6 linked regions of the Ovis aries genome follow. The protein of the gene in region 1 purifies or fractionates together with the protein of each later gene. This does not show direct contact. Links are inferred from orthologs where the notes say so. Each region holds a gene or a part of one and is shown in the gene's direction. Other genes may lie near its edges.

Region 1 (3,500 bases):
GCCTCTTTCCCTTTTGGTGCTTACCCCCATTCACTGCTGTACCCTGTCTGTTTTTCTTTTCCCAACTGCCATGGAACTTTCTGGTTTCAACTTTTAAACTTTCCATAGGTTCCTTCCCCTCTGATGAAAAAAAATTACCCAAAAAATAGATCATCACAGACATTTCAAAGAGTCTTTCTTCTTCCATTCTGACTTTGGACTCACTTCAACATACAGCAGGTTTCAGGACTTACTTAAAAGGGTGTAGAAGAATAGCTTATATTTGTCTGCCTTGTCAACAGGGCTTCATTTTTATTTGCAGGTTTTGACATAACCAAAAACCTTTCAACTGTTTAAATCCTTAACTTTTGACTTAACAGGTAGCTTTGCTGATCCTATTGGTGTAGTCTTTTTTATTTATTTTTTTCCCCCCACCTATGAAATCTATGTAGTATATAGTAATATATGTAATATAAATGTGAAAATATATGGCTATCATATGGATAATAGATGACTGGGCCACATTTTGAAGACTTTATAGGATGGGCTCTTAAAGCACCGGATAGAAATATTGTGCCTTACAGAGGTGCCTAACTGATGTCCTATAAATGTTTCAGCCCATGGATGGTATGCACGACAAGGGGGTTGAAGACATCCATTGTGGATCCATGAAAGGCACTGCTATGCGACCACCTCACCCAGGAATGGGCCCTCCTCAGAGTCCGATGGATCAGCACAGCCAAGGTTTGTGTTTGCTACATACCTGCTTTGGGCTCCATATCATAGTCTTTCATCTTTCCTATTGTTATTTTAATTATGACTTGCAAAGAACAGAACTTGTCTAAGGATGGGGTCTGGCAGGTTTCTTTTCCCTGTAGAAATCTCCCCTTACCCCCTCACCAGCACAACTTTATGTTTGATATGGGCAGTTTTCTTTACAAAATCCTAGTAGTTTGACTGGCCACCATGTGTCCAAGCACTCTGCAAAATGCACTGCATACTTTACGCAGAATCTTTGCCCTGATGTTGTAAGATACATTATATCACTCCAATTTTGTAGGTGGAGAAGCTAAAGCTCAGAATATCTACTTTGCTTCCATAAGTTAGCATATCCAGTAAGTGACAGGTCCAAAAGGAGGACCCAAGTCTGCCTCCCAACAACAGCATGGATGGGTGATAGCAGGATGAGCCACCCACGTCCCTTGAATTGTACACTCCTCCTTCATAAGGTGACTTTTTCTGGCAGTGGAATAACCTGTCATCACTGGGGAATGGCTATCTTAGTCTCTTAGGGCTCCCATAACAAATTGCCACAAGCCAGTTGGCTTAAAACAATAGAAATGTATTCTCCCAAAGTTCTAGAGGCCAGAAGTCCGAAAGCAGGATATTAGCAGGGCTGTGGCTGCTCTGAAGTCTACAGGGAAGAATCCTTCTTCGCCCCTTCCTAGCTTGTGGTGGTCGCCAGCACTGTTTTGACATTCCTTGACTGGTAGATCTGACATTCCAGTCTCTGTGCTGGTCTCCACGTGACATTTAACCTGCATGTCCGTGTGTCCAGACTTTGTTCTTTCTATAAGGACACCAGTCACTGGATCAGAGTCTACCCTGATCCAGTACGACCTCATCTTAACTCAGTTACGTCTGCGAAGATCCTGTTTCCAAATAGGGTCACAGTCACAGGCACTAGGGGGTATGTCTTCAGTATAGCTTCATAGAGGACAGGGTTCCACTCCACAGTTGCACCCACAGTAGTGGCCAAATCAAAATATGGCAGCTTTGTCCTCTCCTGGGTGCTTTTCCCTCTCATTGTTGAGGGCATATTGAAGATAGTGGAAAGTATATCCAAAGATATAATGTAACCTCTTTTCAGAATCACTATAGGGGCATTTCAGCAACTCATGGAGGCATAGGAGTACATCTTCACTAATATTCCAGCAGGTTTTTGAAGATCCTAGACTCTGATCTGAAATTTGATGGTAGGCAGATGTAAGTGTGACAAATGACTCGTAAAATCTTGCCCATGTTAGAAAAGCAGACTGAATAATTGGGACTTGTTCAGGCACAGAAGAAAAAACTTGAGCCATTCAGGGGTAAGAATGAATTAAAACAATACTTTCAGGTTTATCATTTAAATTCTGAAGAGCCAGGTGCCTTCACAGAGCTAATGTAGATCTCATTTTTAATACCTAGGAGGTGTAGATGAGTTATATTCAGTGATTCTCAAAGCCAGATGCTGGCTCTGTCTGCTCCTGGCTTTGCAGTACTTCTAATAGTGGGGCCCTGGGACAACGCCAAAGGAAAACACTTGAAATGCATGAATCATAAGTGAGGCTTTTTACTTTTATGTATCTTAAAATTTCTTTCATTGCTTGGTTCCTTTCTTGGACTTGTAGAATGATGATATTTCTTGGAATTTCCAACACTTGGCACAATGTCTAGCACATAACTGGATATTTAGTAAATTTTTTTCAATTAGGAAGAGAAGTGAACTTTATGTATTCAAAAAACACTTTTAAATAGATCGTAATTTTTATATAATTTCAATAAGTTATAATTACTTGAAATGCAGAAGTCTGCATTAAATTAAATAGAATTGGAATTAGAATGTAATATTTTTCTCTAGAAGAGTAAAGTGCCTTGTAAGCTGGGGAATTCATTATTTAAAATATGCTTTTGAATAAGGTAGTATTGGTATAATGCAGTCTTATTCTACATAATGAGCTAAAAAGAATTTAGACTCCATAATAACATATATCTTTAAAAACCTCGTTGTAGGAAGCCATTTATAAACATACCGGTCTAGAGAGGTGTAGTATTGATCAGAAAACTGCCTGCTTTAACTACCTAGCAACCTATTAGGTTATTTTAAGGTATTGGTTGAGAAGCAAAACCATTTCCTTCAATAAATACTAAATTGTGTACCTTATGGTCCTGATGATAACATTGTTTATTTTTAGTCCACTGGATAGAGAAAGCCTTCAAAGAAAAGTATATAATATTTAATGTTTTGTGTGTGTGTGTGTGTGTGTGTGTGTGTGTGTGTGTAAAGAGAAAACTCATATAAAATTGGCATTTGAAAACTCAAGTTTATTAAAAGGAGAGAGGCTGATTGCCTCTCTCTGCAAAGAAATGAAACTGGGGAAATAATGCCCTTGAAGCTGAGGGAAGGAAAACTGCCATTTTTTGACAACTTTTAAATGAGCAAATTAAACCAGATTTCAAAAAGAGCAGATTCTGCATCAACACTGTCATCCTACAGACAAAGGTATATTTACTCTCAGGCAATTTCTTCACCATTTTCTCAACCAAAGATAATTATGCAAATATGTTATTTTGTTTTTATCGTTTAGATTTTTTTCTGATTTTTCCTGAAGTTTTATGGAATGCTAGTCATGTCAAAAAATAAAAAGAAATCTCTCTCTCTTTAACTGAAAGACTGTCACATTTTTAATGTCATACTGTGATAGAATGATTCTATTAGCATCTCCTGTAAATTCTAGGAAGCAATTTTTCCCACCCCC
Region 2 (3,500 bases), on another chromosome or scaffold:
GAGCCTGCAGAGTCCCACTGTCTTACTGCTGCTTGTTGCCATCATCCTTCCTGAATGAGATTAGCAGCCGCTACCAAGAGAATAACTCTTCAGGCCCAGACACCGTAGTTAAGGGCTCTTCTTCTTTGCAGAGTAAAGGTGTGGGCAGTGCCCGTAAGAAGCTGGACGCTTCCATCCTGGAGGATCGGGACAAACCCTATGCCTGTGACAGTGAGTGCCTCACGAGTGGGTGGGTAGTCCTTGCCTTCGACCCAGCTCCTCGGGATATGAAAGGAGGGAAGGTTGTATTCTTGCTCAAAGTGGTAAAACAAGCTTGGACTCTTGTCCTGCCTGCTGACTGGTTCCCTCTGAGATCCCTGAGAGGCCCCGGCCTCTGCTGCACGATGGGTGAGCCTTGCATGCTCTGGGGGAGATTTCTGCTGTCCTCTGGGGTGGGGGTGCCCATGAGGGACACACAGCAGGCAAAGTTGGCCTCTCAGTAGATGACATCTGGGCCTGCTGGCCCCAATCAAGTCAGGCCCCAGGAGTCCAGCGCTGACTTTTCCGATGTCTGTTCCCTCTTCCCCTTTTCTCTGACTCGCCCCACTTCTGTCCCTGCACCCTGGGACCACCGTCTCCGCTGGGGTTTCTCTCTCGTTTGCTCTGCTTTCCTGCTGCTGCTGTACCTGTCTCAAGTGTACCAAGGCCCTCTTCTCATGACTTTTCTTTCTGTCTTTCAGATAGTTTCAAACAAAAGCATACCTCGAAAGCGCCCCAGAGAGGTAGCTCTCTCAACTTCTCAGACTTTTGGTTTTCCTATCCCTTTTTCCCTTCTCCCTTTGTTCCTGCCTTTCTCATCTGTGACGCTAGTGTTAAGGTCCCTGGAGTGGCATGGAGAGAGGAGCCCTGGCCCTTCTGTTGCAGTCCACTCCTCACAGTCCCAGAAGCTGCCTCTCCCTGCTCGTCTCCCACCACGTTGCTCTAGGGCTGCTTGGGCCCACTGCATGGGGTGGCTTTAGAAGCATTCTGAGGGACCCATTGTCCCAGATCCCTCTGCTTCCGCTTCCCCAAAACAGACATGTGGTGGTCAGCTAACGTTCCCCACCATCCCGCCACCCTTCCCATCCCTTCCCCATTCCTTTCCTGCCACCCCTTATTCTTCTTGGTATCACTGCTCAAAGGTACAGGGTGCCTCGTGGGGATCTGCTTTCCTTGGTGGTTGAGGGATTGTTGGTTGGACAGAGCACTGCTGTGCGCATGTCTTTGAGTTTCTCTGGGGAACAGCTACCCCAGCAGACTCAGTTGATAGATTTTTCCCAAGAGATCCACCCTTACTTCTTTATTTGGGCAGAGGTGGGCTGTGTTGTATGTAGGGAGTAGCATGAGCCTACATTTACTGATAGGATAAAAAAGTTTAGAGTCTTAGCTTTCCTCCTGCCTGCCATTATTGCAGAATTATTGCAATACTATGGAAGGTCCCTTTCCTTCCTGACCTGGAGCTCCCCAGACTATTCCCAAGGCAGGCAGAAGGCAACGGCTCAGTCTCCCAGACAGCTTGAGTGGAGGAGCAGAGGTGGCCGTGCTCTGGGCTTTAGTAAGTGGAGGACCCGTGGGAGCTTGAGACCCCCGGGCCTGCTGTTCCTGGCCACGGGGAGGCGGCTCTCAGTAAAGGTCTGTCCCTGAGCAGAGCTGATGGGGGCGGTTACCTCTGCCTCACGTGGAGCCCACAGCTTAGAGGGGCAGGGATGAGGTACCCTGAGATCCTAACACCTTTCTCTGCAATCTTCTCCCCACTCAGTTTGTGGAAAACGTTACAAGAATCGACCAGGCCTGAGTTACCACTATGCCCACTCCCACTTGGCTGAGGAGGAGGGCGAGGACAAGGAAGACTCACAGCCACCCACCCCTGTTTCCCAGAGGTCCGAGGAGCAGAAATGTAAGCTGGTGTCAGGGGCGAGGCAAGCAGGAGTCGGCTTGGCTGTGAAAAACCCTTCTTGTGGGGATGTCAGGAGACCCAGAGGCCCGCCTGGGTATCATCTGAGTTCTTCCCTTTCTTGTTATAGCCAAGAAGGGTCCTGATGGATTGGCCCTGCCCAACAACTACTGCGACTTCTGCCTGGGGGACTCCAAGATCAACAAGAAGACAGGACAGCCCGAGGAGCTGGTGTCCTGCTCTGACTGTGGCCGCTCAGGTATCTGAGCCAGTGCAGCCCCTGGCGGCACCCAGACCCTGAGGGCCCGTGGCTCACCAGCATCCCGGTGGCCGCCCTCGCCGGGCCCCCTCGCTGCTCCGCAGTCCTCAGCTCCCTGACCTGCCCGCTCTCCTCCACAGGGCACCCGTCCTGCCTCCAGTTCACCCCCGTGATGATGGCAGCGGTGAAGACCTACCGCTGGCAGTGCATCGAGTGCAAGTGCTGCAACATCTGCGGCACCTCCGAGAACGACGTGCGTGCCCCCGCCCGCTCCTGCTCGGCTTCCCTCTCCTTCCCACCAGCGGGCACTGAGATTGGTTTGGCAGGTGTTCACTGAGTATCTGCTTTGTGTCAGACCCTGTTTTAGGCACGAAGGACACTAAACAACGTCCCTGCTTTCATGGGCTTCACACGCTTGTGTGAACAAACAGTTAGCAAAGAAATGAGTGGCATCTTCATACTGTTCCCTGCAGAGAATGTTCCATGCAGTAGTGTGGTTAACTGTTAGAGTAAGTGAATAACTGATTTAGATAGAAAGGTCTTTTCTGAGGCTGTTGGGGTCCCAGTGGGATGACAGTGACTTCCTAGACGGAGAGGGACAGCAGTGGTTTTCTGGCCAGAGGGTCCCTGCCATCTGCCCCTGCCCCTCTTGGAAGAGCCCTCCTAACCCATTCCCAGCGGCCCAGCCAAGGGGAGTCGTTCACCTCCCCCTTCCTCTTCCATCTCACCTCCTCTAGGACCAGCTGCTCTTCTGTGATGACTGCGATCGTGGCTACCACATGTATTGTCTAACCCCGTCCATGTCTGAGCCTCCTGAAGGTAGGTTTCCCTGTACTCTTACTCAGAACAAGTATTTATTAGTGACTTGAAAATCACTTATACAATGAGTGTATTTCTGTATCAGTGATACGGTCTTCCAGGTTAGGAAGTAGGCTCTTAGCCTTCACTCAGTTCAGAGTGCTTTACTAGCATTGCAACTTCTAGGGTTTAGCGTTTGTACATTATCACCAGATAACATGCACAGCCACAGAAAACGGACAGCCTGAAAGAAAACAAATGCTGAGCAGAAAATAATTACCAGAAGGAGAGATCTGTTATCGTTCAACCAGCCTACAAAACTCAGTCATAGTTTGTCCAGTGAGGGACTTTGGTTTCACCACTCCATGCCTGACAGATTTGAGTGTTCATTTCCACCAATTGGGAGAGGGAGCTGAACCTGGGACCTGAACAGTTTGCTCTGGCCCTCCAACAGTGCTTAGTAAGATGCTTCAAATTTATGGAAGGTCTTCGATGAAACCACTGGGGACACCAAAAAGTGTCTGCCTCTCT
Region 3 (3,500 bases), on another chromosome or scaffold:
GTCTCTTGTCGAATTGATGTAGGTCATAATGATTACGGTTATCAGCAACCGTCGTATCCTGAACAAGGCTACGATAGGCCTTATGAGGATTCCTCACAACATTACTACGAAGGAGGTATCTATATACCTTCACACACATACACATATATATCCCCTTCTACAGGAACAAAAATTCTTGCATAAGACAACTTCTACCCACGCAAAGCTCTTGTAGAATACTAGTTGCTGGCTGTCTTGAAAGTTCCAGGGAGCCTAGAACAATCAGAATAATTTTCTTACAAATATTTAAAATGTATAACCATGACTTGCCATTTCTAACAACCATAAAAAGACTAAAACATTTTAAAATAATTTTTTTCCTCAGTGGAAATTTTCTATTTGAACATAAATCCATCAATCCAATTTTTTTTTCTTGTTGTGTGTTCACATATGTATAATTTTACATATAAGTTTAGTGCCTCTAGGAAACAGCTTGCTGATCTTGTGTAGCTAGTGTGTGCTCTTGTAGCTGTCTTTAATTTTTGTCTTTTTTATTTTATTTAGCATAGTCATGATCTTATGACTGTGATGTTCCAGTAAATGTAATGCTCGTATGGCAGAGACGCTGAAAATGCTGCAGTTCAACCTTGCAAAATTGGCTTTAACTGCAGTTTGTTTGGCCGAAATCCTTCTGTTTGGTTTGAGTTTTTTCTTTGTTTTGTTAACTTTTAAAAATCAATATAGCATTTCATTTTGTTCTTGTGTTGTTGGCTATGCATCTTAGAGGAATAAAGTTAATTAAGCAAACTCCTCAGTATTTTCTTTTTGTCCTCTTCTCCAATTATCATGTAGGAAATACGCAGTATGGCCAACAGCAAGATGCCTACCAAGGACCACCTCCCCAGCAGGGCTACCCACCCCAGCAGCAGTACCCAGGGCAGCAAGGCTACCCAGGACAGCAGCAGGGCTACGGTAATCGCTTCTGGCAGTTTTAACTTAGTTCCTCCTGCAAAATGTGGAAGGGGATATTTAATTTTCATTTGAAAATTCACAGCTTTAGCTCAGTCTACTCGTGCAGTGTCTCTTTGAAAAGTTCTTAAAACTAGTAGTCTGTTTAAGAAAAAGCATAAACTGGAGATGGCTCATTGACCACAGGTAAGGTATAGAAAGTCATTTGAAATGAATTCATTAATTTATGAATTCCTAAACCTGTTTGACATTCATGACCAGCCAGTAGCTTTGCGTGTGCTTAGAAAACTGATGAGTTGGGTGATTACTAACAGTATCTACATAATCTGCTTGGCAAATTCATTTCCAAAACTAATGACTGTTACCATGAAAAGTAACATTGATGTTTTAGTGTACAAATGAGGTCCATTTGGAATGCCTAGAGAAAATGTTTTTGTCATGCCCTATTAAAATAGTTGTGTACACTTCCATAGGGGTATGTTTATTACAGGTATGTATCTTACAGAGTTTGGAGGAAGTATAGCCATCTTTTCTTATTGTATTCTCACTGTAGTATTTACTAGTTGGCTATCTGTTAGATAGGGAGTGGGGAATGATACAGACCTGATATCTCAGTCTGAATTATCTATGACTACTTGAGATACAGGAAAATATGGTTCCTATGATAGGAGATATAGCTGCTTAATTAGATATCATCTTTTGCTAACAGGGTCTCTTTGTTTACATCAATATGTCTAGATGACTGTGGCTCAGATCATGAGCTAGCTTCCTATTGCAAAATTCAGGCTTAAATTGAAGAAAGTAGGGGAAACCACCAGGCCATTCAGGTATGACCTCAATCAAATCCCTTATGATTATACAGTGGAGGTGACAAATAAATTCAAGGGATTAGATCTGGTAGACAGAGTATCTGAAGAGCTATGGATGGAGGTTTGTAATGTTGTACAAGAAGCCGTGACCAAAACCATCCCCAAGAAAAAGAAATGCAAAAAGGCAAAGTAGTTATCTGAAGAGGCTTTACAAACAGCTGAGGAAGGAAGAGAAGTGAAAGGCAAGGCAGAAAGGGAAACATATACTCAACTGAATGCAGAGTTCCAGAGAATAGCAAAGAGAGATTAGAAACCCTTAAATGAACTAGCAGAGAGATAAAGGAAAATAATTGAAGGGGAAAGACTAGAGTTCTCCTTGAGAAAATTGGCGCTAACGGGACATTTATGCAGGGATGCACATGATAGAGGACAGAAGTGGTAAGGACCTAACAGAAGCAGAAGAGACTAAGGAGAGGTAGCAAGAACACACAGAAGAATTAAACAAAAAGGTCTTAGTTACCCAGATAACTACGATGGTGTCGCTCACCTAGAGCCATCCTGGAGTGTGAAGTCAGGTGAGCCTGATAAAGCATTACTATGAACAAAGCTAGTGGAGGTGATGAAATTCCAGCTGAGCTATTTAAAATCTTAAAAGATGATGCTGTTAAAATGCTGCACTCAATATGTCAGCAACTTGGAAAAACTCAGCAGTAGCCACAGGACTAGAAAAGATCAATTTTCATTCCAGTGCCAAAGAATGTCCAAACTATCATATAATTGTGCTCATTTCACATTCTAGCAAGGATATGTGCAAAATCCTTCAAGCTAAGCTTCAGCAGTATGTGAACTGAGAACTTCCAGATGCACAAGATGGTTTTCAAAGAGGCAGAGGAAGCAGAGATCAAATTGCCACCCTTTGTTCGATCATGGAGAAAGCAAGAAAATCCCAGAAAATCATCTACTTCTGCTTCATTGACTATGCTGAAGCCTTCTGTGGATTGTAACACACTGTGGAAAATTCTTAAAAGAGATGAGAATGCCAGATCACCTTAGCTGTCTCCTGAGAAAACTGTATATGTGGGTCAAGAAGCAACAGTTAGAACCGGACATAGAATGACCTGTTCAGAATTGGGAAAAGAGTACATGAAGGCTGTATATTATCACTCTGCTTATTTAACTTATATGCAAAATGTAGGACTAGATGAATCACAAGCTGGAATCAAGATTGCCAGGAGAAATATCAACGACCTCAGATACACTGATGATACCACTCTAATGGCAGAAAGTGAAGAACTAAAAAGCTTCTTAATGAGGATGAAAGAGGAGAATGAAAAGTTGACTTGAAACTCAACATTAAAAAAAAAACTAAGATCATGGCATCTGGTCCCATCACTTCATGGCAAATAGAAGGGGAAAAGTAGCAGTGATGGATTTTATTTTCTTGGGCTCCAAAATCACTGTGAACGGTGACTGCAACCGTGAAATTAAAATATACTTGCTCCTTAGAAGGAAAGCTATGACAGACCTGGACAGTGTATTAAAAAAGCAGAGATACCACTTTGCCGACAAAGGTCCGTATAGTTGAAAATATCATTTTTCCAGTAGTTGTGTACAGATGTGAGAGTTGGACCATAAAGAAGGCTGAGCACCGAAAAATCGATGCTTTTGAACTGTGGTGCTGGAGATGACTCTTGAGAGTCCCTTGGACTGCAAAATCAAACCAGCCAATCCTAAAAAATCAAC
Region 4 (3,845 bases), on another chromosome or scaffold:
GCCGGGGTCTGGGAGTGGCAGAAGGGTAGGCCCAAGGGGCTGCCGAAATGGCCTTGGAATGGTGCAGGAGAGGGCCAGGGCGGCTGGCACCCACTCAGCAGGGAGGGCCTGGGGCCGGCGTTCCCATCCTGGTGGGCCATCTCGTCTCCCTCTCTGTGAACCAAGGGCCGCGAGGGCATCCTCCTGGCAGGGTGAAAAAGCAAGCTCTGGGTCCAGACCCCTCTCACCACACAGCAGGGGCCTGCTAAAAGAGGAGAACTCCTTCCTCCCTTCTGCATGGCCCCCTGGGTCCTGCCTGGACCCCCACCCACCAGCCTCAGATACAGGTGCTTTGGGAGGGGGATGACGAACAGCTCTGAGGGTGCCTGGATAAGGGCTTTTCTTTTGAGAACAGTGGGGAACATGAAGCTGTGTGATCTTGGGTGTGCTGTGGGCCTCTGGGCCTCTTTGTACTGGGAAGAGGCCCTTCTTTCTGATGTGTGTCCCAGAGCGGTGAGCGTTTGGGAGTCTGCGTTGGAGACAGTTAATACAACTAATAAAGATAACAGTAAGGACACCCTCGCAGACTTAAACTTGGAGAAGCCAAGTGACTAGTCCAAGGTCACACAGCGTGTGGTCGGGGGGCACCCCACCCCCGTTCCACCCTCCGGGGAGGGGGCCCCAGGTCAGGGCGGGGTGGGGCTGGAGAAGACCCAGGTGTGGTCCGAGGGGGAGGGAGCAGGCAGGTGCGGGGGGCGGGGCCGGGGGAGGGGCGCTCGCCCCCTTGTTTGCACCTCCCCAAGCCCCCAACCCCAGGTCTTCCTATTTCAGAAGGGGAGTCACCGCAGGTGTGAGTCCCTCCTGTCCAGATCTGGGGAGGGGTGCCAGTTTAGCGGCGAGGCCGCACTCGGGGGAGGGCTGTGGAGGCGGCTCACCCCTCCGGGAGTCCGAGCTGGAGGGGGTTGGGGTCTCCAGCATCCCTGGCTGGGGGGAGAGGGGCGCGCCCCCTCCCTGGAGAGCCAGGTCCGGCGGCCGCGGCTCCCGAAGGCCAGCGCCTCCTCCAGCAGGGGGCGGGCGGCGGCCGCGTTCAGGGTGGGAGCAGACGGCCGCCCGGCCCCCTCCCCGGGTTCCCCCTCCCTTCTCGTCCGCCGGCCGGCCCAGAGGGGGCGGTCCGGGGGCGGGCTCGCGCCTCTCCGCGCTCGCCATCTCGGGGCCGCCGGGTGGGAGTGGACAGGGCGGGGGCCCGAGGCCGCCCCCCACCCCGGCCCCGCAGGCCGGGGGACCCCCGGGGGCGCGCTCCGGGTCTCCAGGCCGGCCCGCCGGCGCCCGGCCGGGGGTCCCGGGCGGCCGCGGCGTGTCCTCTGCGTGCCCGGGGAGGGAGGGGCCGCCGCCGGGCGTGACGCAGCCGTTGCTATGGCCCGCCTTTATAAATAAACGGGCTCGGGAGAAACTTTAGCGAGTCAGAGCCGCGCACGGGACCGGGAAGGGGACCCACCCGAGGGTCCGGCCGGCAGCCCCCCGCACTGATAGCGGCCACCCCGGAGCAGCGGCGGCGGCAGCAGCAGCAGCAGCGGCGGCGACACAGCAGCGACTGTTCGGAGCCGGGAGGCCGCGCCACCTGCGGGCCGGCCGGCGCGGGCAGCCCCAGGCCCCCTCCCCGGGCACCCGCGTTCATGCAACGCCTGGTGGCCTGGGACCCAGCATGTCTCCCCCTGCCGCCGCCGCCGCCCGCCTTTAAATCCATGGAAGTGGCCAACTTCTACTACGAGGCGGACTGCTTGGCTGCTGCGTACGGCGGCAAGGCGGCCCCCGCGGCGCCCCCGGCGGCCAGACCCGGGCCGCGCCCCCCCGCCGGCGAGCTGGGTAGCATCGGAGAGCACGAGCGCGCCATCGACTTCAGCCCCTACCTGGAGCCGCTGGGCGCGCCGCAGGCCCCGGCACCCACCACGGCCACGGACACCTTCGAGGCGGCTCCGCCCGCGCCCGCCCCCGCGCCCGCCTCCTCCGGGCAGCACCACGACTTCCTCTCCGACCTCTTCTCCGACGACTACGGGGGCAAGAACTGCAAGAAGGCGGCCGAGTACGGCTACGTGAGCCTGGGCCGCCTGGGGGCCGCCAAGGGCGCGCTGCACCCGGGCTGCTTCGCACCCCTGCACCCGCCACCGCCGCCGCCGCCGCCGCCGCCGCCGGCGGAGCTCAAGGCGGAGCCGGGCTTCGAGCCCGCGGACTGCAAGCGGAAGGAGGAGGCCGGAGCTCCGGGCGGCGGCGCCGCGGGCATGGCGGCCGGCTTCCCGTACGCGCTGCGCGCCTACCTCGGCTACCAGGCGGTGCCGAGCGGCAGCAGCGGGAGCCTGTCCACGTCCTCGTCGTCCAGCCCGCCCGGCACGCCGAGCCCCGCCGACGCCAAGGCACCCCCGGCCGCCGCCGCCTGCTACGCGGGGGCGGCGCCGGCGCCCTCGCAGGTCAAGAGCAAGGCCAAGAAGACGGTGGACAAGCACAGCGACGAGTACAAGATCCGGCGGGAGCGCAACAACATCGCGGTGCGCAAAAGCCGCGACAAGGCCAAGATGCGCAACCTGGAGACGCAGCACAAGGTCCTGGAGCTCACGGCCGAGAACGAGCGGCTCCAGAAGAAGGTGGAGCAGCTGTCGCGCGAGCTCAGCACCCTGCGGAACTTGTTCAAGCAGCTGCCCGAGCCCCTGCTCGCCTCCTCCGGCCACTGCTAGCGCGGCCCCCGTGCGCGTCCCCCGCGGCCGGCCGGCCGGCCCCCGCGCTGCCGGGCGCGCCGCGGCCGCCGAGACTCCGGGGAGCGCCCGCGCGCCCGCCCGCGCCCCTGGCGGCGCCGGCAGAACTTTGGCACTGGGGCACTGGGCAGCGCGGGGAGCGCGTCGGTAATTTTAATATTTTATTATATATATCTATCTATATTTTTGTCCACACCAGCCGCACGTGCAGACGGGGCGCCCGCCCGTGGTGTTATTTAAAGAAGAGATGTCTATGTGTACAGATGAATGATAAACTCTTGCCTCTCATTCTGCCCACCCCCCCTCTCTGGGCGCCGGCGGGCGGGCCGGTTTCGAAGTTGATGCAATCGGTTTAAACATGGCTGAACGCGTGTGTACACGGGACTGACGCAACCCACGTGTAACTGTCAGCCGGGCCCTGAGTAATCGCTTAAAGATGTTCCTACGGGGTTGTTGCTGTTGATGTTGTTTTTTGTTTTTGTTGGTGTTTTTTTTTTTTTGGCCTTTTTTTTTTGTATTATAAAAAAAAATCTATTTCTATGAAAAAAGAGGCATCTGTATATTTGGGAATCTTTTCCGTTTCGAGCATTAAGAACACTTTTAATAAACTTTTTTTTTTTTTTGAGAATGTTTAAAAAGCCTTTTGGGGGCAGTAGTTGGCTTTGATTTTTTTTTCTTCCCCTTTATTTTGGATTTATATTTGCCTTTCTGGTGTGTGGGGGGTTGTTGTTGTGTGTGTGTGTGTGAGTGAGAGCTGCTGTTATTTTTGGCATTTTAGGTGGTTGGGTGGGGGTGTTGCAGCTGCTTATTCTCCTCTGCTACTCCCCCCCTCAACCCCACCCCCAGGGCCTGTGCTTGGAGATGGGGGTATCAGGCCTGGCGCGGGGGAGGGGCAGAGGAGTGCTGGGTCAGGCTTTGAGGGTGACTCAGTGCGGCTGAGTGCTGGGGAGGAGTGACTAGGAGCCCTGCTTGGGGAGGGCCTGCAGGGCCTCTGGCTGGTCCTGAGTCCGGGGCTTGGGTTTGGAGGGGCTTTGCGGGTTCTGATCTCTGCACAGCGCGTGGGGACCCAGCCCATGGGACTGTGACTCTGAAAAAGAAGGGGTACAGGTCTTGGTCCTACTG
Region 5 (4,061 bases), on another chromosome or scaffold:
GAATTTTACCCCAGCAGTTTGGCTCCAGAAATGTTGGCATAACCACCTTCCTATACCTTAATCCCTCTGAATATAGTCACTGGAAAACACACAGACACAGTAGCCACACCCTTGAAATACACACACACAGCCACACAAATTTAGCATGTCTGCTGATAAACACAGCTTCAAACAAAATCAACCAAGACATACTCCATTTTAAGTAAACTTTTCATTCAAGTAGGGAAAAGTGCATACCATCATAAGCGTACAGCTCAACGAATTTTCCAAGAGTAAACATGCCCTGGGAATCAGCACCAGATTAAGAAACAGAGCATGACCCGTTCCCAGAACCCTCCTCTTAGCCCCTCCCAGTCCCATGGGTGACCGCCCTCCTGATTTCTCACACCATTAATTGATGTTGTCGGTTCTGAACTTCATGTAAATGAAATCATACAATGTGTACTTCTGTATCCTACTCCTTTCATGAGACTTGTCTCCGTTGTTGGGGGTAGCAGGACCTCAGCCTTCTTGCTGGGTCCTCCACGGTGTAAACAGGCTACAGTTCACTTTCCGCTCCCCTGTCGATGGGTTGTTTCCAGTCTGAGGCTATCACAGAGATATGAACATTCCAGGACAGGCCCCTTGGTGCTCATACCCACGCATTTCTGTCGGCTGTTAACGACCTAGGAGTGGAACTGTTGGATCATAGTTTCGCTGAATAACCGCCAGCTTTTCGAAGTAGTATCTCTACCAATTTACACTCCTCCAGAAATATGAGGGATCTAGTTGCTCTACTTCCTCGCCTCCACTTGGTAGGTTTCGTCGTTTTCATTTTAGCCGTTTTGGTGGGTGAAGAATCAGTTATATGCAGTGTCAGGCACGTAATTGGCACTCAGACTGTTGAATGAATGGATGAAGGGGTAGTAGAACAGTGTAGAACCTGATAGCCTGGCGAGAGAGACACACACCCACACCCACAGCGTCCCAGGGACGTCCCCACGCGCAGCGGTCTCACACGGGACGTTGACCCTCTCTCGCCCCCTGGCGCCCACGTGGCTTGAACGCACGGCCGCAGCCCCGCCGCGCGCGTCCAGTCGCCCAGCTGCCCCCAACCTGCCTCTCGGCGGCGGGCAGGGGGCGCTGCGCGTCCGGGTGCCCCGAGGGGGCGGGCCCGGTTGGGGCGGGGCCGGCCGACTTCCAGGCCTGGGCTCTGGCCGCCCGCGCCGCCCGGCCGCTCCGGGGACGGGCCGGGGCGGGGCGCGGCGGCAGGAAGCGGGGCGGGGACTCGCGGAGGCGTTGGGGGAGCGAGGGAGGGCGCGACCAACTCCCGGAGGGACGACGGGCCGAGAGAGCGGCGCCCCGGCCTGGCGCCGAGCCTGAGCCCGCCGGACGGGAGGCGGCCCAGCCGCGGGCTCGGCCTGGGCCCCAGCCCCGCCAGCATGGCCGGCCGGACCGTGCGGGCCGAGACCCGGAGCCGGGCCAAGGATGACATCAAGAAGGTGATGGCGACCATCGAGAAGGTCCGGAGATGGTGAGCGCTGCCCCGGGGCCAGGGACGGGACCCGATGGGCCACTCCTCCCCCAGATAAGTCTACCCGCGCTTCGCCAGCTGTGCCGCCCAGCTGCGCGCCCGAGCTGCGGGGCTCTGTCTTCCTTCTGGCTACACCCTGGGGTCTACAAAGCGTGTTCCCCAGTCCTGCCCTCCAGAAGCTGGAGCCCCCGTTTACGCCCCGCCCCCTGAAGCTTTGACACTCCTCCCGCGAGTGTGCTGGGGATCTTCATTGCTAAGGTCCCCAGCCGGCCTCAGAGTCCGAGCTCTCCATGTGTATACCCCAGGGGTCTGCAGAGCCGCGACCCCAAGTCACACTCTCTCTAGAAGCAACTCCCCCCCAGCCCCTGCCAATCTGTGCCCTCGGGTCTGCAGGTTTTCTCCCTCTAACTATGTCCTCTTAGCAAAAGTGCCCCTTCCATCAGGGCATCACCCCCACATCTCGGGGTATCCCCAGATGTGTCCCACTCCCGGGGTGGCCCTCCCCTCAGGCCTCTCTGACCCAGTCCCCCCACTATCCCACAGGGAGAAGCGCTGGGTGACTGTGGGCGACACTTCCCTTCGTATCTTCAAGTGGGTGCCAGTGGTGGACCCCCAGGAGGAGGTGAGCAAGTCCCCCCCCCTCCACCCCCGTCCCAGGCCCTTCTTCTGTGTAACCTCGGGCAAGCCCCTCCCCACCCTGGCCTCCACCTCCAGTCTCCACTCAGAGCTCAAATGCAGGAGCACAGACAGATGTTAACAATTAATAGCAACTCCGCCTCTTCCCCTCCCCCCCCATCACCAGACCTCGGTCCCCCGCCGCCCCCACTTCCCGGGTTCAAGACCTAACCCAGCGTGCACAACCCATCACCTCATGCGGGGCCTTCCGCTTCTCTCTGCCTCAGTTTCTTTATTTGCACAGTGGAGGCTTGGCAAGTGCTAACCAGAAAGCTGCCTCTGACCCTTAGCTCTCTAACCCCCAGGAGCGCCGGAGGGCAGGTGGAGGGGCAGAGAGATCCCGAGGCCGGGAGCGGAGGGGCAGAGGCGCCAGTCCCCGAGGGGGCGGCCCTCTCATCCTGCTGGATCTCAATGGTAGGTAGGGATGCTGGGATGTGGGGGGGGCTGTGGGCATTAAGGGAAGGGACTGGGGCCTCAGGCCCAACCCTTTTGGCTTTTTTCCCCCACAGATGAGAACAGTAACCAGAGTTTCCATTCGGAAGGCTCCCTGCAGAAGGGCACGGAGCCCAGCCCTGGGGGCACCCCCCAGCCCAGCCGCCCTGTGTCACCTGCTGGACCACCGGAAGGGGTCCCAGAGGATGCTCAGCCCCCACAGCTGGGCCAGGAGAGAGGTAGGACCAGGCGCCTCGCAGGAGCCCTCTCCACTCCAAAGTGGAAGCCACCAGCTTGCCCCTCTGCCAGCTCTTCCTCCTAAGTTGCCTCCCTGAGTTCTGTGGAAAGTCCCTGCCCTTCCTCTAGGGACTGTCTCTCTCCTTCTCTGGCTTCTTAGCTTCTGTGGACAGCTTATCACTGTCTGAGATTTTCATGTAGATTTAGCTTCGTACTAGTTAAATAGCTTTCTTTCCCCCTCATGTCAGCTTCCTGACTGTTGGGCCCACGTTGACCTTGTTCACTGGTATTATCCTCAGAACACCACGGAACACATAGTAGGTGCTCGATAAGTATTTGCTGGGCCTTCCCTGGTGGCTCAGTCCATTGGGTCTCAAAAGAGTCAGACATGACTGGGTGACTAAACAGCAGCCAGATAGCTCAGCTGGTGAAGACTCCGCCTCCAATGCAGGAGACCTTGGTTGGATTCCTGGGTCGGGAAGATCCCCTGGAGAGGAAATGACAACCTGCTCCAGTATCCTTGCCAGGATAATCTCCTGGACAGACCGGTGGGCTGCAGTCCATGGGATCCCAAAGGGTTGGACATGACTGAACATGCATGCACGATAAAACAATTGTGAAACTCATAAGAGTGATTAATAATAAGTGATAATATAACTGCTCGTATTTACTGAGCTAAGCACTTTCCATGTTTTATCTCATTTAATCTTCACTACACCCTATGAGGGTTATGATCTCTATTTATAGATGAGAAACCAAAACTCATAGAGGTTAAGTAAATTACCTAAGCACACACAGCCAGTGAGCTAGGATCTTGGGCATGAGTCCTCCTCGTGTGTCTTCCCCTAGAGTCAGTCCCCTGTCTGGTCAGATTCACTTCCCGGGTGTGTTTGCCTTCCCCTGCCTCCCCAGCTCTGTCATCTCTCCCGCCCACACCTGGCTCCAGCCTCCGGGATCTTCCCTCCTCCAGTTGTACCCCCACTGAACACAAGTTTGACAAGGTTCTTTTCCTGCTGCAAAGCCTTCAGTGATGCCCTATGACCTTTGACTCCTCAACCTGGCACTCTGGGCCCTTCATGAACTGTCCCCTACTGACCTCATTGTTCCCATCCAAGAACACCCTGATTTGGGCCTATGTTCCATGTCTAGATCATTCCACACACTTTTGTACCTTTACTAATATAAAGACAATAATTCGCATTTA
Region 6 (4,005 bases), on another chromosome or scaffold:
CAGGCGGGCAGACACTATTCCTGGGGTCCTCATCAGCAAGATGATACGTGCTTATCGAGCCGTGATATTAGTGGATGACAGAGGGGATACAGTCATAGATGCTATGTCAGGTTCAGGGTTAGTGAGACAGTTCTCTGGCTACACAGAAGGAAGTTTCTCTACAGGTGAAAGAAGTAGCCGCTACCAAGCAATGCAAACTGTCACCTGCTTCCTTTCTGTTTCTTGAAGCGACTGCTTCAGGGCCCTCTCTGCATACGGAAAGCATGAATAAATGCCTGGGGTGACGGGAAGACAGGGAGCTGCACTGAAGACTGACTATTCACCCAAACATCTACTGAGCATCTACAGCGTCTGTGGACACAGTGAGGACTTAGAGCAATTGCATCTACTGTATTCTCAAAATTCAACCTCAAGGTCATTTTTTCCCGATGCCTCTGGACACCCTTCATCTAGATTAAGGCTGCACCTTGTAAAGCACTTCCCTTTAACCTAGCATTTATAAAATGGCATTTGAAATGCTTGTTTTCTGGTCTGCATGGTCTGCTCAACTGGAAGCTCTTTGAAAGCAAAACCCAATTTTGTCCTCAGCACTTTGCCTGCCAACTCTCGCAGTGCAGGCATCATTTAATCAACGATTGCTGAATTAAACGAGACATTGATGTAGAGTGTCAAGTATGGACAAACTGGCACCTCAGGATCTCAGGGGGAAGTCTTGTTGGAATTCTAACTGAATGTTGGAAGAGTAAGTGGTCATCAAGAAGAGATAAGAGAATTCCAGGTGAGAACAGAGGTGTGCAAACGTTGGAAGGCATACTGAAGGTGTGAAATTCTCCACAGTTGGAGCACATTGGTGTATCTGGGGAGCGAGGGGCCAAACAGGAGAGACAGCTGTACAGGATAGTGTAGAACCTCAGTAACACTGGTGTCAAGTCCATAAAATATAGATTATGGTTGCAGCCTGGCCAGAGAATTAAGATATTGCTCTGGGAAAAAGCCAGAGACCCCACTGGCAGTGCCTCGCACCTCACCCTGCACACAACACGTGCTGCCAGCTGGCCCGCAGACCCTGGCTCGCTGGGGAGCCCAGGGGACTCTGAGATCCCCAGGGTGGGGCCTGTTGGGTGGGACGCCCGGGGTGGGGCACCTGGGGCGGAGCGCGCAGGCGCGCTGATGCCTCGAGCCCCAAGGGGAGGGCGGGTGCGCGCACTTCTCGCGCACGCGCGCACGGAGGGGGCGACGGCTGCGGTGACGCTGCTGCGCCGGGCGGGCGGCGGCGCGTGAGGCGCGCGATTCTCGGTGTCTTGGGAGCAGTGCCCCGGCCCCCGCCGTTCCCGCCGCCGCCATGTCGGGTCGGTCGGTCCGGGCCGAGACCCGCAGCCGGGCCAAGGATGACATCAAGAAGGTGATGGCGGCCATCGAGAAAGTGCGGAAATGGTGAGGGGCCAGGCCCAAGGGTGCTGGTGGGGGAGGCCGCCGGCCCGGGTCCAGAGCAGCGCTGAACTGGCGGGCAGGGTGGGAGCCGACCGGCAGGCGCTTGGGGGGAGGGGGGAGCGGAGAAGGCGGGAGGAGGGAGCCGCTCGCGTCGGCGTGAGGTCAGAGGCCGCGCCGGCCGCGACCAATCAGAGGGTTTCCCGGCCCGCGGGCCCGCCCACCTCCCCCTACCCCCGGCAGCGCGGCGCGGGCGGGGAGCGGCCGGCTTCCGGCGACGCGGAGTCTGGGGGGTTTGTTTAGCTGCGGGTCCGCGCGGGCGTAGTCTCCGCGCCCGCCTGCCTGAGGAACCTTTTGCGTTTTGAACTGTCCCGTATACTAACTAACAATCTCTGAGGGGTTCCCGTTGGCCAGACTGAGCACTCTGCGTATTAAGACGTCTCGGTTAGGTGAGAACTTTAAGGCAAGCCACCTGCCACGGGGCCAGGGAGTCAGAATAAAAATTGCTGTCTTTCTCCTAATAGGGCGCACGCGCGCGAGCTGGATAGGCATTTTCTCTTGGTGACCTGGGAGCTGTTAGTAGAAGAATCAGGATCTCCCCCTTGTTTGGAAACGGCTCCTGTCATGTTCATTGCAGGCGCAGGCTGACCGCCTATTTTGTACCGGGAGTTCCAGTGCGTTATCACCCTAAGTTTTTACAGCCAGGTGTTTTCACCAACTTCTTGAGTACTTTTCTCTAGCTGATTGCTACCGATAACTTTTACTTTACTAATAACTTTAAAGCCGGGTAGGTGTTAGCTCCCTCCAGGAAGCCTTCTCCAAGACTTCCTGCCCTTCACCCTCCACTCCCTTCAGAGTCATTGTTACTGTTTAGTCGCTAAGTAACGTCCTACTCTTTGCGACCCCATGTAGCCCACCAGGCTCCTCTGCCTATGGGTTTTTTCCAGGCAAGAATACTGGAGTGGGTTGCCATTTCCTTATCCAGGGTATCTTCCCAACCCAGGGATCGAACCCGCGTCTTGTGCTTTGGCAGGTGGGTTCTTTACCACTGAGCCACCTGGAAAACTGAGGGTCATCATTACCTTGGACTTTATTTGCATGTTTATTTGTCCATTTTGCTACAGGACCAAGTTCCTCATCTCTAAGGACTTAAGAATACTAGTTAAATAGTTAATGATTTTCCTTCTCCGAATCTAATGGTCTAGGTTTTGTGAAACCTAGGACTGGGCATCCCTTCCTCTTCTGTCCATCTCTCTCCTCATCTGCAGCCAAGGGCAGTTGAGCATCTTCTGTCACCTGGAACTCTGTACCCGGCTCCCTGTGATCTGTGCCTGCTTCAGGACTGGCTCAGTTCCCTGGTCCATTCATTACTTTGTATTTTTCTTCAAGTGTGAATTTTTTAGCACTCTTTTGCTTAGGAAATAATGCTTCATTGATCTCTTCTTGTCCTTAGGATAAAGACCAAAAATGATCCTTCATACCTCACTAGACTGGCTCAAACTGCCCTCTTTCGCAAGATGCTGGCCATCTTTCAGTTGGAGCCACACTACCTTTCCTTCCGCCTGGCAACTCTCCTCTACCCACTCCTTCCACTTGCCTAGTTATTGCCTGGCTGTGCTCTGCAGTTGCTTCCTCACCGAAACCTTTCAAGAGCCCCAGTCTAAATCGGGTCCTCTCCTAAATGGAACTTTCCACAGTGGCATTAGGTTGAACCATAAGACATCTATGTTTGCCTCTTTTATCTGCAGAAATGGCAGTTTGATGTGGTTGAATCTAATGATCCGGTTTCTAACTGAAATGAGTTGTGTGGTGTCTGTTTACAGTTGGAATTCAGGCTCGGGAGAGTCAGGACTGTGCATCTTGTTCTGTGTGCCCAGGACCTAGCAGAGGGTCGTAGATTAAATATTTGTTGAATAAATGAGTGGCTTGTCCAGGAATTAATTCCAGTTTCTAAGTCTTTAGTTCATTCTTCTTTCTGTTACATCACAGTCTCTATATTTTTGTGATGTCATTTGCTGAATCAAATCAATAACAGCAGTTACTTTTTTTGCTTTTTTGTGCTCACATTGGGACTCGAAACTTTCAGAAGTCACACTTCAGGCTCCCCAACTTTGGCCATCTGTAATCTGCACCCTTATTCAAGAATGTTACTTGCCTTTCCCTCCCCAGGTATGTGTGGGGAGGGGAGAACAGCTACTCGTTTTTTTTTAAGGCGTATCTCAAAAGTACCCTCTTCTGTAAAACGAAATCTTAAAGTCATCTTTTCATGGCGCTTGGCCTTCACCTCTTCCAAAAGCCAGTGTGAGGCTCAGTTCTGTTAGCTGAAAGCATCATGTCCTGCTCCTTGGTTATTGGAATTGTGTTTCAACCCAGAGTTTCCCTGGTGGCTCAGACGATAGAGTCTGCCTGCGATGCGGGAGACGCAGGTTTGATCCCTGGGTCGGGAAGATTCCCCTGGAGAAGGAAATGGCAACCCATTCCAGTATTCTTGCCTGGAGAATCCCATGGGTGGAGGAACCTGGTAGGCTACAGTCCATGGGGGTCACAAACAGTCGGACACAGCTGAGCGACTAAGGC

The links.
Region 2: the proteins of SMARCA2 (region 1) and DPF2 purify together in Homo sapiens (affinity purification with mass spectrometry; 6 studies listed by BioGRID and IntAct, counting the BioPlex papers as one, with this or other methods). This does not show direct contact. The link is inferred for Ovis aries from reciprocal best matches to the Homo sapiens genes SMARCA2 and DPF2.
Region 3: the proteins of SMARCA2 (region 1) and SS18 purify together in Homo sapiens (affinity purification with mass spectrometry; 6 studies listed by BioGRID and IntAct, counting the BioPlex papers as one, with this or other methods). This does not show direct contact. The link is inferred for Ovis aries from reciprocal best matches to the Homo sapiens genes SMARCA2 and SS18.
Region 4: the proteins of SMARCA2 (region 1) and CEBPB purify together in Homo sapiens (affinity purification with western blotting; 5 studies listed by BioGRID and IntAct, with this or other methods). This does not show direct contact. The link is inferred for Ovis aries from reciprocal best matches to the Homo sapiens genes SMARCA2 and CEBPB.
Region 5: the proteins of SMARCA2 (region 1) and BCL7C purify together in Homo sapiens (affinity purification with mass spectrometry; 4 studies listed by BioGRID and IntAct, counting the BioPlex papers as one, with this or other methods). This does not show direct contact. The link is inferred for Ovis aries from reciprocal best matches to the Homo sapiens genes SMARCA2 and BCL7C.
Region 6: the proteins of SMARCA2 (region 1) and BCL7B purify together in Homo sapiens (affinity purification with mass spectrometry; 3 studies listed by BioGRID, with this or other methods). This does not show direct contact. The link is inferred for Ovis aries from reciprocal best matches to the Homo sapiens genes SMARCA2 and BCL7B.

What each region holds. Positions count from the first base shown.
Region 1 is NC_056055.1:70,292,504-70,296,003, forward strand, and holds part of SMARCA2 (probable global transcription activator SNF2L2), read left to right. Parts: intron 1-596; coding exon 597-723; intron 724-3,500. UniProt on the Homo sapiens protein: ATPase involved in transcriptional activation and repression of select genes by chromatin remodeling (alteration of DNA-nucleosome topology).
Region 2 is NC_056074.1:39,990,684-39,994,183, forward strand, and holds part of DPF2 (zinc finger protein ubi-d4), read left to right. Parts: intron 1-131; coding exon 132-210; intron 211-719; coding exon 720-761; intron 762-1,777; coding exon 1,778-1,915; intron 1,916-2,042; coding exon 2,043-2,171; intron 2,172-2,311; coding exon 2,312-2,424; intron 2,425-2,908; coding exon 2,909-2,990; intron 2,991-3,500. UniProt on the Homo sapiens protein: Plays an active role in transcriptional regulation by binding modified histones H3 and H4. Is a negative regulator of myeloid differentiation of hematopoietic progenitor cells. Might also have a role in the development and maturation of lymphoid cells.
Region 3 is NC_056076.1:31,102,490-31,105,989, forward strand, and holds part of SS18 (protein SSXT), read left to right. Parts: intron 1-22; coding exon 23-115; intron 116-831; coding exon 832-951; intron 952-3,500. UniProt on the Homo sapiens protein: Appears to function synergistically with RBM14 as a transcriptional coactivator. Isoform 1 and isoform 2 function in nuclear receptor coactivation. Isoform 1 and isoform 2 function in general transcriptional coactivation.
Region 4 is NC_056066.1:78,225,549-78,229,393, forward strand, and holds CEBPB (CCAAT/enhancer-binding protein beta), read left to right. Parts: upstream 1-1,433; 5' UTR 1,434-1,652; coding exon 1,653-2,705; 3' UTR 2,706-3,345; downstream 3,346-3,845. UniProt on the Homo sapiens protein: Important transcription factor regulating the expression of genes involved in immune and inflammatory responses. Also plays a significant role in adipogenesis, as well as in the gluconeogenic pathway, liver regeneration, and hematopoiesis.
Region 5 is NC_056077.1:27,484,578-27,488,638, reverse strand, and holds the start of BCL7C (B-cell CLL/lymphoma 7 protein family member C), read left to right. Parts: upstream 1-1,261; 5' UTR 1,262-1,421; coding exon 1,422-1,513; intron 1,514-2,056; coding exon 2,057-2,135; intron 2,136-2,493; coding exon 2,494-2,602; intron 2,603-2,697; coding exon 2,698-2,859; intron 2,860-4,061. UniProt on the Homo sapiens protein: May play an anti-apoptotic role.
Region 6 is NC_056077.1:34,113,398-34,117,402, forward strand, and holds the start of BCL7B (B-cell CLL/lymphoma 7 protein family member B), read left to right. Parts: upstream 1-1,205; 5' UTR 1,206-1,342; coding exon 1,343-1,434; intron 1,435-4,005. UniProt on the Homo sapiens protein: Positive regulator of apoptosis. Plays a role in the Wnt signaling pathway, negatively regulating the expression of Wnt signaling components CTNNB1 and HMGA1.